Linked DNA regions of Drosophila melanogaster. Changing the gene in region 1 together with any one later gene gives a genetic interaction. Each region holds a gene or a part of one and is shown on either strand. Other genes may lie near its edges.

Evidence for each region.
Region 2: of RanGAP (region 1) and Rcc1, changing one suppresses a phenotype caused by changing the other (phenotypic suppression), as found in Drosophila melanogaster (2 studies listed by BioGRID).
Region 3: of RanGAP (region 1) and zuc, changing one enhances a phenotype caused by changing the other (phenotypic enhancement), as found in Drosophila melanogaster (one study listed by BioGRID).

What each region holds. Positions count from the first base shown.
Region 1 is NT_033779.5:19,440,258-19,444,010, reverse strand, and holds the start of RanGAP (Ran GTPase activating protein), read right to left. Parts: upstream 2,053-3,753; 5' UTR 1,756-2,052; intron 1,673-1,755; exon of another isoform or gene 1,284-1,672; intron 1,179-1,283; exon of another isoform or gene 708-1,178; coding exon of another isoform or gene 464-707; intron 381-463; coding exon of another isoform or gene 160-380; intron 100-159; coding exon of another isoform or gene 1-99. Other genes in the region: Hs2st (heparan sulfate 2-O-sulfotransferase), read left to right, coding at 1-99, 160-380, 464-707; CG10237 (uncharacterized protein), read left to right, coding at 3,290-3,347. UniProt on the Drosophila melanogaster protein: GTPase activator for the nuclear Ras-related regulatory protein Ran, converting it to the putatively inactive GDP-bound state. Trans-acting factor necessary for meiotic distortion.
Region 2 is NT_037436.4:5,930,603-5,934,355, forward strand, and holds the start of Rcc1 (regulator of chromosome condensation 1), read right to left. Parts: upstream 2,172-3,753; 5' UTR 1,804-2,171; intron 1,716-1,803; 5' UTR 1,680-1,715; coding exon 1,016-1,679; intron 957-1,015; coding exon 1-956. Other genes in the region: Egfrap (EGFR adaptor protein), read right to left, coding at 3,168-3,389, 3,452-3,732. UniProt on the Drosophila melanogaster protein: Promotes the exchange of Ran-bound GDP by GTP. Involved in the regulation of onset of chromosome condensation in the S phase. Binds to chromatin.
Region 3 is NT_033779.5:11,988,260-11,992,012, forward strand, and holds zuc (zucchini), read right to left. Parts: upstream 1,624-3,753; 5' UTR 1,566-1,623; coding exon 804-1,565; 3' UTR 476-803; downstream 1-475. Other genes in the region: CG34163 (uncharacterized protein), read left to right, coding at 59-70, 125-376; dgt2 (dim gamma-tubulin 2), read left to right, coding at 1,765-1,996, 2,054-2,517; escl, read left to right, coding at 2,714-3,012, 3,071-3,260, 3,316-3,753. UniProt on the Drosophila melanogaster protein: Cardiolipin hydrolase present at the mitochondrial outer membrane required for piRNA metabolic process.

The DNA.
Region 1 (3,753 bases):
CGCAAACCGCTCGACAGACTTGTCTCCTACTATTACTTTCTACGCTTTGGCGACAACTACCGACCGAATTTAGTCCGCAAGAAGGCGGGCAATAAAATTGTAGGTAGAGCATCAAGGTATTAACCTCCCTGTAACCAAAGCCCTCACACATCTTTGCAGACCTTCGATGAGTGCGTGGTGCAGAAACAACCCGACTGTGATCCCAAAAACATGTGGCTGCAGATACCCTTCTTCTGTGGCCATGCAGCCGAGTGCTGGGAACCCGGCAGCAGTTGGGCCTTGGACCAGGCCAAGCGCAATCTAGTCAACGAATACTTCCTAGTCGGAGTCACAGAGCAGATGTACGAGTTTGTGGATCTGCTCGAGAGATCCCTTCCAAGGTGTGCCTCCCAACCATATGTTATTGTCTGTTTTAGAATACTCCAGTTGCTTCATTGACCTGTTCTTTTTTTTTCTTTTGCAGAATTTTTCACGGCTTTCGTGAGCACTATCATAATTCAAACAAATCTCATCTGCGGGTGACATCTTCCAAGCTTCCGCCCAGCGAATCGACAATTAAATCCATTCAAAAGACAAAAATCTGGCAAATGGAAAACGATCTGTACGATTTCGCGCTGGCCCAATTCGAGTTCAACAAGAAGAAGCTCATGCAGCCGGACAACAAGCACGTGCAGAAATTCATGTACGAGAAGATTCGGCCCAAATGATTGCAGAGGAGGCGACGGAGTCGCAGAGCGAGGATTCGGCCGACTCCAGTGATCTAACCAGGAGTCTCCGACAATTGTATTGTAAATACGTAATTCTCCTTCGCATAGATTTGATCTGTACTTAAGAGTAACTCATCCGTACACTTAAGCGCTACCTAAGACTTTAGCATTGAATATCGTTGACATATTACTAACCCAAACCTTTTGTACGTAGTCTAAGCTTTAAACGTATAAAACAGGCGAGAACGCTTTTGTAGTTCATCGTAAGCAATATCTAGCAACAATTGTCTGCACAATATCTCTATATGATTAGTCAAATGTACGTTTTATACTCGACAATACAACGGAATGAATGGATGAATTGAATCGATATGCATACGTAGAACTAGAAATAGGTGTAAATTCATATGTAATCGACTCTCATTGTTTGTAACTCTCATAGGCTAGGCCATAAATCTGAATTTGACATTCAAATTAAATGCATGTAAATACCTAATAGATAATGGAGTGTCTGTCCGTCTGTCTGTCTGTATGTCCATGTGAAGCGCGCTGTGCGTATCAACAGCTGTCGCTGGGATTGCGTGTTCGTAAATTGATTAATGCCATCAGTGGGTTACTTTTAACTTTCAGCGTTCTGTACTTCGACTTAGCTAATTGCACTTGGCTGCCCAACGAAATTCCGCCGGACTTTAAAGGCTGACGTAGCTCCGTGCTCGAAGGTGATCGTCTGACTGGAGGACGGAATGACCGAATGGCTAAATGGCGGAATGGCGGTCCGACACGCAGAATGGGCTCAGGCAAGCGCAAGAAATGGCATGGAAATACATTTGGAAACGGCGAGCAGTGAAATACTTAATTAATTGCTCGTGCTTGAAACTAAAAGCAAATGAGCTCGAATTACCCACAGCCCCCGTCAGTCAGTTGATCACTTGATCGTGGAACGCGGACACGCCAGTCGAAAGAAGGTACATTAGCTAGTGTCCGGCAGAAAAGCAGAAAGTTACTGTTGTGTCGAACGGGAGGAGTGATAGCCAAAGCAATAACTTACACACTTACGATCCGTAAGAGGGATTACAAACTCGTTTTTCACTCAGTCACAGTGGCGAAGGCGATTAGTCTTTAAACTACTCGTGTACGGAGCGTTCAAAAGTTCAAGTCTAATTGCATCCAAGTCGCGTAACCATCAGAAGATTAACCACGATACACTGTGCGAAACGCTCAGAACACGCACTTAATATAAATATATATACATATATAAAGCTGTGCCGCGATTGCGAAAGTGCCCCGATGCTATATAGCTAACTTAAAAATTTCGTATTTTGCGACGAGAAATGAAAATATTCCTTCGTTTACATTCTAGAACAAATATAGGAAGTGGACTTTTCGCAAGTGGCAGATGAGAATTTCTCGAAAGTGCTAAACAGTACAAGTTACAAAGTGTATATAGTTACAAAATATAGCAAAGTGGATTTCCTGATAGAAAGTACGGATTTTTTCAATAATAATAATAATAACTATATTGTTTTAAGTCAAGAACATTTCTAAAAGTGCACACAAAGTGAAGAAAGTTCTTGAATTTTGTAGTACTCACTTACTTTCAGTGTACCTTCTGCAACATTATATTTAATAATGTTAATTGCTGTGGAAAATCGATTGAGTGCGCTGCACCGTGAGAAATACCGCACTTGTCTTGGCACTTTAACGTACTAAAAACAATGGAAATAACATAAAATTAATGCTGAGCTCAGTGAACCATTTTCAGGTGAACTTATGCAAAACAAGCCAAAAAAAAAAAAGAAGATCCCATGCGGCGATTCGCGACGTGATCTTTAGAGCTCTTAACTCGAATCGGTCGCTTATAATGACCTATTAAGTCGCGCTGGCCTTACGAGTGCCCGACTATTCCGACCGACCTATGTATATATCTTGATAACTATAACTTTGTCGTACAATACATATGTGCAATGCACGCAGTGCATAAAAGGGGCGGCTATAAAACGATTTGACAAGCAGCTTTGTATTTTCAGTCTTCAAACGCGACCCAAGCTCACTAGGTACATATATCGGAGTCGAACGGGAGTTCCGAAGGATTTCCACTGTACCAGCCAACTATTTGTGGATTAGCCGATTTTCAATTCAAACAAGGTGAGTAATTGGATCTCATATATACATTTGTATATATATATACATATAGAGTGCTTTTCTTTTTAAGAGTGCATTTCTGAGTGTGTAGCGCTAGGGACCATAAAAATATCTTAGCCAGATCACCATCACTATCACTATGTAGCTACGCTCAGCCCTTATTTACGAGGCATCACTGTCTGTCCGTGTTTTTTGCATTGCCTTTTGCTCATTACTGTTGCATGCATTCCCCCCTTTCGCACTCGTCGCTCGAGAATTTCAGACAAAGTTCAGTAACTCGCCGACGACATTGACCCATTTAGCCACCGCCGATGCTCCCGACTCGATCAGCCTGAATAAAGAAATATTAATTTATTTACATACGCTAGCATTTGCATGTGCATACCGGTTTAGTTAGTTGTAAAGTAACTTGTGTGTGTATTCATTCGATCTGCATCGCCATGACCATGCTGACCACTGCATCTGCGATGAGGTGCCTGCCCTCTGAATTCCCACTTGGTGAGCAATAGCGAAATCTGCCGAACCCCATTTTTTATCGTATATTTATTGCAAGTACTATATGCATTTTCTTAGAATTATCTCCCTCAAATAGAATTATTTTCTATATACGTACGTATGTATTTATATAAGGCGCGTGGCTACAGTTGCTCGAAAAACTATACACCAGTTTGTTAAAAACTTATATACAGTTGTGCTGGTAATTGAAAGTCACGATTAGTTCGAGAAAGAGTATTTAAAAGGTATTCAAAATATAAATAATTTAAAAAAAACAACACTTTTTGCAATGCCTTTTGATATGCCATCTAAATTGTTTGGACATCAAGCGAGTATTCATGTAACAATCCATTTGTTCGATGTCAGTAATATCTACCGACTTGTACTTTTTCCATCTCTTGAGTAAGGT
Region 2 (3,753 bases), on another chromosome or scaffold:
GGCAGCAGGCTTCTTGGCCTTCTTGGGAGTCGGTTCCTGAGCAGACTCCTCTTCGACCTCCTCGGCGGCATCATCCTGCGGCGGCGTCTTAATCTTTTTGCTGCTGGTTGACGCCTTCGCCGGCAAGTTTTCCTTCTGCTCCTGCTTATCTACATTCTCGGCTTCCTTGTCGGCATTATCCTGCGGCGGCGTCTTGTTCTTTTTGCTGCTGGTTGACGCCTTCGCCGGCAAGTTTTCCTTCTGCTCCTGCTTATCTACATTCTCGGCTTCCTTGTCGACATTATCCTGCGGCGGGGTCTTGTCCTTTTTACTGATGCTGCTGCTGCCAGACACCTTCACTGGAACATTCTCCTTCTGGTCCTGTTTGTCCGCTTTGACCAAAAAGATTGCGTGCTGACCACCGCCAGATGCGAGCAGCATGTGCTTCCCCTGCGTGTTCTTGCTGACAACCACGATCGGTTCGAGCTCATCATCGCCGTCGCCAACGCCTAGTTGATTGTTGACACCGGAGCCCCAGGAATACAGTTTGCCATCAATTGTAACGGCATAGGAACAGACTTCGCCACATCCAACGGACACAATCTTTTCGGTCAGCTTCTTTACAATCGTTGGCTTCTCCACAACATCCTTGACATCGCCCAGACCAAGCCGACCGTACTCCGGACGACCCACTACGGAACACTTAAGGTCCGTTGTCAGGATGACAGTATGGTGCTGACCGCCGGCAATATGTCGGATATCTTTGAGTTCCGTCTTGATGGGCGTCAGTGCGAACTCCTTGCCCTTTGTCTCGTGGGCCAGCTGCTTGAAGTTGTTAAGCCCTGTGGCCCAGATGACCTGTGTCTGTGACTCGCGCATGAATGTGCAGTAGTTGGTGGCCCAGATGGCCTCAAAAGGTTTGGCCCGCGTGATGATGAGCTGGGTGGGCCGCAGCAAGTCGCGTTTGCCACGACGACCTGGGGGTTAACATTTTTTTAATACGAATTTCGTTGAAAATTTGAATGCCAAGACTTACCCTCTCCGGAGATGGAACGCTCCGACAGCCGGCCGAGTTGTCCCTGCTCAGCGCAGCCCACGGTAAAGACCTTTCCGGCAGTGGTCAGGATGACCAAATGATCGGCGCCGGACGCGATGCTACAACAGACAGTGCCCTCCATCAGATCGATGGGCGTACGCTTGTTACCATCGATGGTGAGGCCCATGTTGCCATGAGAGTCCCGGAACGAGCCCCAAGCGAAGACACGGCCATCCTCCAGCAGACAAGCGGAATGCGAGTCTCCCGCCGAAATGCACAGAGCCTTGCCGGGCAAATCGATAAGATCCGGCTTTGACTCGCTGCCATCCTCGCTGGTGTCACGGCCTAGAGCACCTTCGTCATTGCAACCGAATGAGTAAATGTCCCCTGACTTGGTCAGCACCAGGTTGTGCATGCCACCGGCGGATATGTCCACGGCATCCGGGATGCCCGCCACAGGGCTGAGACGCTTGCGCTCCAGTATGTCCTCGCCGAGACCAAGTTGGCCCACATCGCCGTTGCCGCAGACTAGCACGTTGCCGAGCACGGTCCTCCGCTTGGGCAGCTCCAGATGAAAAGCGATTCTGGCGCGCTTCGCCTTCGGTGGCTGCTGCTCCGCTTCGCCGGCATTGTTGTTATTAGTCAGGGCCTTTCTGCGCGGCATTTTAGCTTGTATTTTCACAATTTTTTGTCACCGAAACTGGAAATAGTGCGTTTGTGTGTGTGTGTAAGAAATATATATAAGGTTAGGGACGCCGGTGATGCAGCTTAGTTCTGCTCACACTCACAATGGAAATAATGCCGGTCTCTGGTTCAGCGGGAGTTCCACGTTGTCTAGATGGTGTTGCTACGGCGGTTTGGAGGCGAGTGAAAACACCAAATGCAAGCGAATCCCAATGCGACCTACCTGGGTCGAAGAAAATGCGCGGGAAGCGGCGGCAGCTGGCCTTCAGGGTACAGTGTTGCGGGCTTGGCGAATTCCCCGCCGCATCTGGCTATTAGCGAGGTCACACTCCAATTTCAGGGTCGCTTCTGCGCCTATTGACCAATTGTTAGTACATCTTTGTTATCTTTGCACTGTTCCTAATTGCAAATAATAAAACAAAGCCTGCTATAACCCACAGTTTATTTATTTCGAGATATTGATAACTTTTAGAATGGAGCGTAGCGTGAACTCAAACTATGACAGTTGGTTAACAGTTCTCTAGCGAGTTTGCGAGCCGATTGCCGACCGATTCTATCGAAAGAGCTATCGATAATGTGCGGGAAATTTAAACTTTCCTTACCCACTCACATTATTTCAAAACAAATTTGTTGTTAAATATTATAAAATGTTCTACCTTTAAGCCAATGCTTCATTTTCAACGTGATTGTATGTATATTGCATGCTATAGATCAGAAAATAAACAATACTATTTGAAAAGGTTTTCCATTAACTTTATTACAAAATACATAGAGTTACAATATAATTGGTTATTCATTTACTTCCCATATAAGTCTATCTAGCCACTGCACCGCAAAGTGAGTGCATCAAATACAAAAAGAATCCACTTTGCCCATTCCGCATCCGCACTCCAAATCCCGGCAGCCGACCCTCGATTTCCCTACCCAAACATTAACATTTAATCCGACTGCCCCCATTCAGATATGTATAGTACGTCTGTCTGATGCATCTGCCACTCAGCACTAGCCGTACAAAACGAGCAGAATTGATAAAAACGCGAAAAATAATAATCACTTGATGTCTGTTTGCGTATACATATTGCATGTTTTTGCCATTTTTTAATCAGTTTCGCAAAAATGATTTGAGCGTATTCCCTATATTTGTGTATGCAAACACGCCCCTGCGAAACCACAGCCATCGCAGCCGCCCACGTAGCTGATTTTATTATCAATTTTAATAAAAAATGTTTGTGCACTTTTTGCAGCACCTGTCGGACAGGTGGGCCTTTGCCGGCCCGAGTACACATGGACATGGACCCTATTTATTGGTAGCCACGTCAACCGTCGTCAGCACAGCCAATTACGCAAATTAAACAGATTGTTATCCTGTCGCGACAGAGGACACAGGACGCAGGACAATGTGACAAGCTGGGCAGCTTAATTCAATCAACGTGACATAATTACTTAATTAATTAAGAGCGCCCAGCGGTCACACATTCAAATCGGCCATCATTTTGCGAAAGTCGTTCAGCGAGCCATACATCTCGAAGTCCGCTCCCCCGTTTCCGGTTCCGCCTGCGTAGGCGCCCTGCGATCGTTGCGATCGGGTACTAGGTGGGCGTGGCAGGGTCAGCGGCACGGGCAACAGTTCCGGCATCACCGAGTGGTGCGTGATCAGCGCCTTCAGCGAACTGAACTCCTTGGTGAAGCCCTAAAATGGTAAATACCATCATAATATATAATAAATATTATATATAATGTGCTCGGACTTACCTTTATCTTGTAGCCCCTTTGCGTCCGCAGGATCAGATAGTGGGCCACTCGTGGTGAAGGTGGTGGCACTCGCAGCGAGAGGGCGAAACATCCCGGCTTTGTGCTGCTCTGGCGCACTAGAAACGCACCTGGACTCTGTCGGGACAGGGCCTCCAGGGATATTTCCCTGGGAATGCCCGCTTGAAACCAGGCGGCTCCCTTAAGCTCCTGCTGCTCGGCTAGGCTGAGATTATCCAGGCGCAGGGCACTGTGGCCGGGAAACAATTTCGGACTGGAGTTGGCTGATAATTACACGGAAGTAA
Region 3 (3,753 bases), 7.5 Mb from region 1:
TTTGCCATTCACCACGAACTTAATAACAACTTAACACGCGGAGATCTCCACATAAACAATGGAAATTAAAGTACGTAAACAAATTATTTGCGACCTAAAACTTATTTCATTTTGATCCCCGTAGAAGTCCAAGAAATCAAAGAACGACAAGAAGTCCAAGGCGCCCAAGGAGTCGTCCGTTTCGCTCAAACTGAACGCTTTGCATCGCAAGCAAAAGGAAGTCGCCCGCGTGCTCACTTTAAAACAAGAAATATTACTGAAATCGGGTGTATCCTATCTGGAATATTATGAGATTCTGGCAGAAATCGAACGACTCAACGGCCTAAAGGAGTCATTTATGCGCCGCGCTGATAAGCTGAAGCAACAGGACAAATAGTTGATAAGTTGGTTTGGTTTAGAAACTATATAAGAGTAAAGAAATCTGTAGCAGTTATATTTCGGAATGTTTTGTACATACATACATGTAATCTTTTTTGTAATTAACTTTTATTTACTTAAAAGCTTTCAATAACATGATGAATAAAGTAGAAAGTTATATATATAGTCAAAGCTGATCATAACTAAATGCACGTTGAAAATTAGTCAACTCAATCGAAGTGATAAAGATTTCATACGGATTATACTGTTAGGTATACATTTTGATTACTTTTGTTTTGCTTAATTAATTTGGCACTCCTTTGTGTGTGAAGATCAAGCTGCCTTAAAAAGTTTTAGTTTAATTGAAGGCACTTAGAAAATAAGAACTATAATTATTTGGCATACTGAGGAACTGTTTGGTAGTCATACATTAAATCAATTGATTTCTACTTGAGCTGGATTTGGCTCCCCTCGGTCTTCGCAAAAGCCCGCCACATTCGTTGGAATTCCGCCTGAAACGTGGCTGTGAGTTTGTCGTCAGCTGTGATAATGCAGTTCTCCCAATTGCCTCCCAGTCCAAGAGCCGTCCAGTTTACGGAGCCGCTGATCACGATGCTATAGCACGGACGCATAAACTTGAGCTTCCTCAGCAGACGAATCTCCTCGACGCGCTCGAAGCCGTCGATTATGCAGAATTTGTTGTGCATCAAGTTCGTGGTAATGGGGACGCGAACTGGAACTCCCAATTGTGCCAGCATACTGATCTGAGAACCTTTGGAGTAGACCATCTCCCCGTCGCTGATGATCCGGATAATCACGCCGCGCTGCAGGGCCCGCTTTATTGAATCCGCCAAAAAAAGCGAGGTGAAGGTGTATATGGCCAGGTCAATGGAGTATACAGCCCGATCGATCTGCTCTACGATCTTGGCCACATTCCGCAGCGAACAATGCGTGTTGCAGCAGGGCGACACTTGTGGTTTCTGGGATCCCATGCTGCTGTTGCGCATATGCACCGCCGCACAGATCTCGCCCAGTTCATTGAAGATGATCACTTCGTGCACGCGGCTTGCCTTCTCTCGCTTGCTGCGCGAGCACTGCACCAGCTTCCAAATCACCTCTGAGGCCAGGACAGTGCTGACGGCAATGCTTATTGTGGACACAATGGGATAGTCTCGAATTTGTTTCATAATTATTTGGGTAATCAACATTTTTGAATTTAGCTCGTTTCTCTAGCGCGCTTTAAATAATAATCTTGGGGTGACCATTATAAAATATAAGTAAAATATATTATCGTTAGTAGCTACCGGTCACACTGTTGCTCAGTAGCGTTGCCGTATCGCAGCCATGCGCTTGCCCATTCGAATCAAACAATCAATTTCGGGTCAATTTAAGCATTTTACCACCTAAATGGATGATCCATCCGCCACGCTCTTGCCCGAACACTCGGAAGATTTGCGGCTGGCTCGCGATGCGGAGCTGAAGAAGGTGCTCAAGCTGAAGCTAGTGCTGGACGAGCTAAGACGCCTGGATGTGGGCCCAAATCCGAGTGATGAAATCAAAAGAGCCCTCAAATTGGTTTCCATTGGAAGTTATGCGCGACTCGGCGAGATGGAGGGAGCTGGTCAGGAGCAGGTGCTTGGTAGGCGCGTTACAAGTTTATTCCAAAAGCAGTGAATAACCATTGGAAATCTAACAGGTCTACCGAGCGGCAGCAGTTTTCCGCCCTTGAATTACACGGATCGCAAGACGGTGCGTACCAAATTGTCCGCTCAATTACGCACAACTCTGCAACCCATTGCCGAATTGTGCGACAGGATACGCGAGGAGTTCCCGGACGCCTTTGGCCAGGAGGCGGACTTAAGCTGCGACCAAAAGGAGATTCTGCGCCTGGAGGAGGAGCATCGCAGCGGTCTGGAGAAATTGGTTGCGCTTCTCACTCGTAAGTGCACGCTTCTCAAGGAGACCGCCGAATTGAAATTGGGGCCGCAGTTGGCAAACGAACTAAAATTGCAACAGGCGCAGGCGCAACTTGTTCAAACAAAAGCAGAACTACTGCGCGGATTTTTCGTCCACGAGGCCGCCTCTCGCACCGAACATAGCGTCAAGGCACATAAGGAGGTGGAGGCGCACCTGGACGAGCTGCTCGCCGCCAAGAAGTAGATTTAAGCAAACTAGTATTATGTAAATTAGATTTTTAAATACATTATAATTGTGATTTAAACAGGGTTGTTCGTTTAGGTCTTTTCGCTCTAGAATGGCAACACTGTTTTGCACTGCAGTATTTGCAGACGGTCACTCTAGGGATAAACAATTTGTAAACAAAAGAAGCTTTTAAGTTTGCCGGAATAAAACAGATATGACCGAAACGAATCCCAGTGAAATATCTCCTCCGAGCGAAGAGCCACCGGCAGAGGACGAATCCACTGACCACTCTCCAGCGGAGGCAGTGCTGAGCAATAATTCCTCGAGTGTCTGCAATGTTGTGGAGCCGGATGATGAGCACGAAGTTAATTCCGTGGATCGGGAGGACACCGCCAGTTTGTTCAGCACTACTACGACCACCACCAGAAGCAAATCGCCAAATACACGAAAATTGAACCGCCTGTGTCGGCGGATCAAGGCACCCAAAATGGTTCAGCCCTTGTACAAATATAGGTGTGATTTTTCCAGGCAGAACATAAGTCATAATGTTTATATCCCGGATGCATTGCAGCTCCCATGTCCGCGAGGACCACAACCATCAGATCTTCGGAGTGCAGTTCAATCCGTTCCTGGACAGAGGCCAGCCGCAGGTGTTCGCCACCGTTGGCAAGGATCGGGTTTCCATTTATGAGTGCGAGAGGAGCACCGGACAGGAGTCCTGCGAAGGCATTCGACTGCTGCAAGTCTACGCAGACCCAGATGTAAGTACTCATCATATGCTATTACTTACATACATCATCGTTACGCCCTCGTTAGACCGATGAAAGTTTCTACACATGCGCTTGGTCCTACGACTCTGTGACCGGCGATCCTGTGCTTGCCGCGGCTGGTTACCGCGGCGTCATTCGCATATTCAATCCGGTTAAGCACCAGTGCAGCAAAAACTACATTGGTCACGGGCACGCCATTAACGAGCTGAAGTTTCATCCGACTAGACCGCAGTTACTTCTGTCCGGCAGCAAGGATCACTCCCTGCGCCTTTGGAACATTCAGTCGGACGTGTGTGTGGCGGTTTTCGGCGGCGTAGAAGGACACCGCGACGAAGTGTTGTCTGTGGACTTTGATTTGCGCGGTGATCGCATCATGTCCAGTGGAATGGATCACTCACTGAAGCTCTGGCGACTGGATAAGCCCGATATAAAAGAGGCCATCGAGCTGAGCTCTGGTTTTAGTCCCAACAAGAATACGGGTCCG